2 linked regions of the Oryza sativa Japonica Group genome follow. Each later gene encodes a partner of the first gene's protein in a complex. Links are inferred from orthologs where the notes say so. Each region holds a gene or a part of one and is shown on either strand. Other genes may lie near its edges.

Evidence for each region.
Region 2: vacuolar protein sorting-associated protein 54, chloroplastic (region 1) and vacuolar protein sorting-associated protein 51 homolog share a complex: the UniProt entries of both Arabidopsis thaliana proteins name them as parts of the golgi-associated retrograde protein (GARP) complex. The link is inferred for Oryza sativa Japonica Group from reciprocal best matches to the Arabidopsis thaliana genes VPS54 and AT4G02030.

What each region holds. Positions count from the first base shown.
Region 1 is NC_089038.1:7,614,583-7,618,302, forward strand, and holds part of vacuolar protein sorting-associated protein 54, chloroplastic, read left to right. Parts: coding exon 1-52; intron 53-734; coding exon 735-906; intron 907-1,007; coding exon 1,008-1,091; intron 1,092-1,812; coding exon 1,813-2,129; intron 2,130-2,360; coding exon 2,361-2,514; intron 2,515-3,720. UniProt on the Arabidopsis thaliana protein: Acts as a component of the GARP complex that is involved in retrograde transport from early and late endosomes to the trans-Golgi network (TGN). The GARP complex facilitates tethering as well as SNARE complex assembly at the Golgi.
Region 2 is NC_089037.1:31,134,379-31,138,098, forward strand, and holds part of vacuolar protein sorting-associated protein 51 homolog, read left to right. Parts: intron 1-945; coding exon 946-1,020; intron 1,021-1,187; coding exon 1,188-1,288; intron 1,289-1,977; coding exon 1,978-2,045; intron 2,046-2,294; coding exon 2,295-2,368; intron 2,369-2,918; coding exon 2,919-2,985; intron 2,986-3,178; coding exon 3,179-3,294; intron 3,295-3,431; coding exon 3,432-3,689; intron 3,690-3,720. UniProt on the Arabidopsis thaliana protein: Acts as a component of the GARP complex that is involved in retrograde transport from early and late endosomes to the trans-Golgi network (TGN).

The DNA.
Region 1 (3,720 bases):
TTCAAGGAAAAACGAATGACATGTCCAGTACAAATTCAATAAAGAATGTCCGGTAAGTTAAGGTGCAACTAGTTATTAAATCTTGCATTCACATGGGCTAGATATCATATACATCCGCATCAAAACTCTATGGAAAAACATATTTGAACTTTTTTTTAGGTTTGGAATAAAAATATTTTTATGAATAGATCCAAAATTAAAAATTAGGAGCTACAAAAGTTATATATAGAATCCATCCGAATATAGTTTTTGTTACTTTCTGTTTTTCTGGTTATTCTGAAATTTGAAATTAATAATTACAAAATCGTACCTGACATGGACTTTTGTTGTAATCTGAACCACTGTAATTTCGTCCCACCTTGAAGAATGGCTAGATTTTATTTTTCACCTTTTTCTGATAAATGCGAAAAATACCTCAGTTTGCCTAAAAGAACCTCCCTTTGTCCCAAAATATAGCTAGTTCTAAAGTTTTTCACTTCTATATTTTGGGACACCCTTTTGTACTCTAGAAGTAGCTATAGTTTGGGACAAAAAATTGAATGCTAGAAGTAGCTATATTTTGGGATGGAGGGAGTAGATATGCTTTTTATGTTATGTTAGCTGATGTCATGGTAGTGCTGTGGACAGATTCAATACAAAATTAGAATATTGGGTCAAATTCTAGGCTTTACCTCTTTTATATCATAATTATATTTGACAACACAATTGCTCTCTAATATTTGCCTTTGGTACAGAGCTGATGTCTTGAGAGAAAACACAGAAGCTGTTTTTGCTGCATGTGATGCTGCCCATGGACGATGGGCTAAACTTCTTGGTGTTCGTGCTGCCCTTCACCCCAAATTAAGACTTCAGGAGTTCTTGATCATCTATAATGTAACAGAAGAATTTGTAGCTGCCACTGAAAAGGTTATTTCTTTTCCTGTTTGAAAAATATGCACAAACGCTCATTATGCTCATCACTGCATACATGCAAGTTATGACTTTATTGTATCTTCTTATTCCTGTAGATTGGAGGCAGGTTGGGTTACAACATCCGTGGAATTGTACAACAACAATCAAAGCAATTTGTTGACTATCAGCATACTGTCCGGGTGAGTGATAAAATTTGTTGACTATCAGCATTTGTTGAATTCTACAATGGTAAACAACTTGCATGAGTTTACTGATGATGAAAAATTAAAAGGCCATTCTTCAAATGTCATCTATAAGGAGAGAATAATATTAAATATAAGACTACAAAGCATCATTGTACACAAACTTCAATGGATAATTGTGCTATTTTGAAAGAATATAAATCACTCAACTTTATCCCTGACCCCTCAGTTATAGATATCCATCAAATTGAATATAATGCTGTACCTTTATTATGCTTTTTAATTGGAGAATATTACTTGCGGAAAGTGCATTTCACCATCAAATACCCTGAGTAAAATGGTAGTGCAAACGGAGAATGTAAGGCTTAAACAAGTACTTCCTCCGGTTCACAATGTAAGTCATTCTAGCATTTCCCACATTCATATTGAAAAATATGAATGTGGGAATTTCAATATGAATGTGGGAAATGCTAGAATGACTTACATTGTGAAACGGAGGGAGTACTACTCAACAATTGACACTATAGTTTGTGAAACAATTAACATTATTAGGTGTCACTGCTGCTTTTTTTTGCTACTCAACAATCATCATAAATACAAATTTCAAGGTTGTGCAAACAACTGTGATTTGGATTTCAGACTGATATGTACTTTGTCTGCAGTTGATGCACAACTTATAGTATTTTTGTGCACTAAAACTTCTAATATTCTTTTGAAGATGGCAAAAATCAAGGCAGTTCTTGACCAAGAGACATGGGTTGCTATTGATGTTCCAGAAGAGTTCCAAGCAATTGTTCTATCACTATCATCCACTTATTCCGTTGCTAATGGCATGGAGATGCCTAGCACTGATGACAGCTCAAAGCTCCATGAAAATCGGGTTACAAGTCAAGAACCAGTAAATTCAGCTGAAAATAATACTGATAATGGCAACGCAGTATCTACTTCTCCTTCGACTGAAAACAATGTTGGGCATGCTAGATCAACACAGCAAACCATTGTGCATGGGGGTGTAGGCTATCATATGGTAAACTGGTTAGTCATCTATATTTTCTACTTAATAGTTCAGGTCAAGTTGCATTCTCTTCTTGCGCACCTTGCAGTGTTGCAACGTGACACTTTTATTTCCCAACATTTTGATAGCTAGAGTCGTAAACCATCCCTCTATTGATTTGTGGTCAACCTTGTTTTATTTGTTGTGTCTTTTTGTTAACTTGTGTTCTCATTACGTGAGATTCTCAATTTAAATCATGTTCACCCTTGCAGTGGTTTGATATTGTTGAAGATGTTATCGGAATATGTTGACATCAGTAAATGCTTGCCATCATTATCTTTTGAGGTGGTCCAACGTGTTGTTGAAATATTGAAGCTCTTCAACACTAGGACGTGCCAACTGGTTCTTGGTGCAGGTGCCATGCAGGTAGTATAACTGTTACATGCAATTTGAGTCATTAAGTTGTTAACAGTATAAAGTCTTTTCTCTATATCTGTACTCATTTAAAAGGGAGTAGCGGTGGTGGTGAGTCTGCCACCACCCCCACCACCAACTCTATTTTTTTGTGAGAAGGAAGGACAATGTAAGGCTAGAGGACCCACATGTCAGTAACAAATATATCCAGAAATTTAGAGATATATGCAGAAAATTATGGTAATAACAGGTTAATGATAATTTTCTTTAATCAAAACTAGTTGAATGCCCGTGCATTGCAATGGGAATTAAATAAGAAAACCACACCGTACACTCTAAAGCCTCAAAAATTAAAATAAAACTACCCTCATTCTAAAATCTTAGGGTCATATATTTGTCATCATTTTCACCTCACTTCAAAAGAAGTTTTTCCTGTTTGATGGCTTGAGGTTAGGAAGGGACAAAAGTCCATCCACCTCACTGTTTGGGGGACCCACATGGTAGTGGTGGTGGGTGGTGGCAGATTTACCACTCACCACCACCATTGAGGTCTTTGAAAAGAGTATATAGATCCTGTTGTAACGCGAGGGCGATATGCTAGTTTTTTTACAACATATGTAAACACAACTCTCGTGTTTTCATGGGTATGTAACACGGGTTAAGGACACTAGAAGTTCTTATGGATCATCTGCTCACTTAGGCTGCATTCATTTCTGGAGATTGAGAGAGAAACCCATTCGTTTTCCACACCCACAATACTTTTTTGCAAAAATTTTCTATAGGAAAGTTGCTTTAAAAAATCATATTAATCCATTTTTGAAATTTAAAATAGTTAATACTCAACTCTCCTTGTGGGCAAGATTTTACCATCAGTTATGGGTTAGTGTGCTATCAAAAGCAAGATTTGCATGCTTTTATCAAATGCTAACCTTGCTTGGAAAAGCATATTGCCTTAGCTTTTAGATCCATGCACACCTTAAGGCTTGGCTGGGTGTCCTTGGACATAAGTGGTGCAGTGGCACCATGGAACCATCTGCGCCTAAGGCAGGGAGGGAGATGGGATTATGAGACTAATGAACTTCTGTTTGTTCTTGTTTGATTAAGATATAATGATGTCCTTTTAATAGGATAGCCTTAGGCTGGACATAGCACCTCGTTTACTGAATGCTGTACCTCATAGCGTACCATGTTTTTCCATTGTTTTGTGTAATCTTTATC
Region 2 (3,720 bases), on another chromosome or scaffold:
AAACAAGAAAGTAACAACATGTGATAATATTAATGTGTAATATCAAAGACCTCCAAGTACTCCTAGCAAAAAATATAGTGCATAGTTGGTGGGGTGAAAGATCACTGCCATTACCGCTATTGCATTCTTTTAAAAGGAGTATAAACAAGCGCTACCACAAGATAATGCTGGAATGATCAACGATTCAACTTGTTCTTAATATCCATGCTAGTGGTACTCTTAATGGGATGTCTACATTTCAACATCTCTTAGCTTAAAAAACTTCCAAAACTTATCCTCCTGATACATCTTCTCATTCTCCAACCTTCTAACTTGTAGAACTAGTGGAACACCTGAACTCCTTTCTTCATATAAAGTTTTTTTCTTCTATTGTGATGCCTATTTTAACTTTTGTGCATGGGCACAGATCTTCTATTCTCTACACAATAGAACTACCATACGCTGATAATCTATAGTGGTTAATTCTGAGTTTTTGTTATATCTATTTTATTTGGTACATGTGTGAATATGACCTGTTAGTCAGATATCAATCAATGAAAATGACCATCACCCATAACAATTCTTATGCAAACGCCGTTACTTATTTTCCACTATAGCATTAAACTTCATATTTATTAACTGTGGTACTTATACAGCAATAGCACTCTCAGCTGCTCCGTATCATTTTCTTGACTCATAGATCTTCCGCAATAACACTGTCAGCTGGTCACAAGACTCTGCATTGATATGTTGAACCTCTGTTTATCGTTTTTATAATGAACTATGAGGCGATGCCCGAAAACAGGAAATAATCATGACTTTCTGTGAAGCAGGCAAGCAATAAACACAAATAACTAGTACATTGCTATGCTGTCCTGATGAAATAGCTAATAGATTTACTCTATTTGCATATAGTTCCCTATGTTTTTCTGTAAATCTTATCATGTTTAATTTTTAAATCAACAGGTGGACAGCCTGAAATCAAACCTACTTGAGAAGTTAGAAGATTGCCTCTTAAATTTCCAGAAGGAGCCCACACAGGTATATATATATATATATAAGAAATGTTAGAACTACTCAACAACTTCCATTTTATTTTTGACGAAAAATCTATAAAGTGTGACCTATTCGCAGGACTCAATTTACAATCCTTTTGCCAACCTCCTTACCAATAAATTATCTAATACCCTCCTGTATAACTTTCTCAGGCTTCAATTGGTGATATTTCAAAGACATTCCGTGCTTATCTCATAATATTTCCTGATTCAGAAAAGCGCCTCATTGAACTTGCACAGGCTTTGTTCTCAAAGTAAGTTGATTTTATATCTTATGCAAACAAACCATCATCCGTTTTTGAACAATGAATAACCAAGTCCTATCCGAATTCGTTGTTGTTTTAGGATTAGCTCCCACAATACCACTACCACGTAAAATTACATGATAGTTCTGCCCTCATTAATAAATGGTCATATCTCCACATGGTATTAAGAACAACCAGTAACTGAGGTAGTTGATATGAATGAAATCTTTTTGGAAGAAACCAGCTAGAAATGTCACATAACAAGTGTTTCTGCAGTGATTCTTGTTTTCTAGAAGGGAAAACAATCTTAAAGTTAGTAGTAAGTGGTGTCCCCTCTGGAGACTGGATATGAATACATGCACTTTTGGACTTAAATGCAGTCAAATTTAGAGAATCAACACTTGTATTTAGATTGGAAATATGAAAAACCATGTGTAGGCTTGCCTAAAAGTATACTTTAATACTATCATAATTTTGTCAGGTTTTATAAATATAGCAAAAGAAAACAGTGGTTAAAGTTGCAATGTGGGTTCCCTTTCAGTACTTGTTACCAGAGATAGTAATAACTCATAGTACATTATACCTCGATACCTTCAGCATGTTTATCCTGTTTGCTTCCTGTTTTAACTTGCATTTCTACTACGAGAATTTTATCATATATATACATTGTCTTACATTTTTTCTTATTTTACATGAAGCCGGTATGAAACGGTCAGAGAGAATCTGAGGAAAAGAATTCCATCAACATATCTATTGGCTATGTTACGTAAGAACTTACCTATGTTACTGTGCCATCTCTATTTTGTACTGAATATATGTAGACTGAACAATAAGTTGAGGATTAAGACTTGTTAAGTTTTTGAATAAATGGACTGTTGGGTTTTGAATTATTGAATTAGTATATTACATAAAAATTTGTTGTTTACCTATGGAGTCCTCACTGTCGATATTACTGCAAGTTGTAAGATCGTTGCATGTCCTTTGATTTAAGTCTGCTCCTTTTTTATGATCTCAGGATCCTTATGGGAGGACGCCACTGCCATTGATGAAGTTATACCTGAGGCTGCATTACCAGCTTTTTCTCTGGAGGTTTGACCTTGACCCTGTAACAACCTATTCATGGTTCTAAACCGGCTGATGTGTTGCTAGCTGCTAACACTTAACCACAAAGGTCATATTGTGTAGCCATTTGGTAGAAGTGTAGAACATCTAGCAGATAGAAGTGAACTGGTTGCATGGCTAAGTTTGGCTTTGGTGAATGGATGCATTTCTTAGTTGATATCCATAATTACCCACATTGTTTTTGCAATCGTCAGTGTTGAGGATTGAGGATTATTCTGTCACGGGTTTGCTAGAGGAGTATGATAATCTTATCCTGAAAGCTCTATTTTACGAATTTACAAATCAACAAAAAGCTGTTTGGCAATATATGTCTAGCTGAGGGTATTTTGTTAGTAGTAGAAAGTAATAGTTGTACTGTTAGTTTATTGACCCCTGTTTTCCATTACTCAAGTGATAAACTGAATATACTTCTGTAACCCAATTGCTTATTTTGGGTATTCTCCATGTCAACAGAACTGTTTATATATCTTGATAGTTGACATTGATTTCACATGTGCCAATGCCTTTTCTGTGCCAGACTACTCGGGATATTATTAGACAACATATCGCAACTGCCTTTCTTCATCTTCAAAGTGAAATATCAGGTTGCCCTCCTCCCACCGCAATTTGTTTTAGTTTTGCAAGTTTCGTGCAGAACTAATTGATATGATTTAAATTTGTTTTTTTCCTGCAACTACTTAGTTTTTTTGGGCTTTTAGCTTGTAGTACAGATAGGTTTGAAAACAATAAAGTATTTCCAAGGAAAAAAACTAATTTGTCTGGTGTATGTGTGAGCAGATGTACTCGCCAGAACACCCTCGACATCAAATGGGAAGTTAGAAGAGTCACAGCTGCAAACTGCCATGGAAACAAGCAAGGTTAAAGTATTGCAAGGATGTATAGATCTCCTGCAGGTATATATTGTGGATAATCTGCGGCATAATATTGTCCAAATAACATGCAGTTCTTTTACAAACTACTAGTAAGCCTATGCTTGCATAAGAGCATATATTCCAATGTTCTCATTTTTTTTTTACTATGTTGTTTCTAGGAATTTCATCATCTTATAGATGGCAATACAGAGTTACTTGTAAAACTGAGAGATTTGGTTATTGATTGGGTACAAGAAGGTTTTCAAGATTTCTTTCAGAAACTTGATGGGCATTTTCATATGCTTTCTGGGAGAAGCAAGAGTCCATCTCAAGAGATGGAATCGGTGCAAATTGATAAGGTTCCAACGGCTTTGGTGCTTATGCTTGCACAACTTTGTGTTTTCATAGAACAAACAGCAATTCCCAAAGTCACAGAGGTATATTGCTAGTTTCACTTTCTAGCTATCA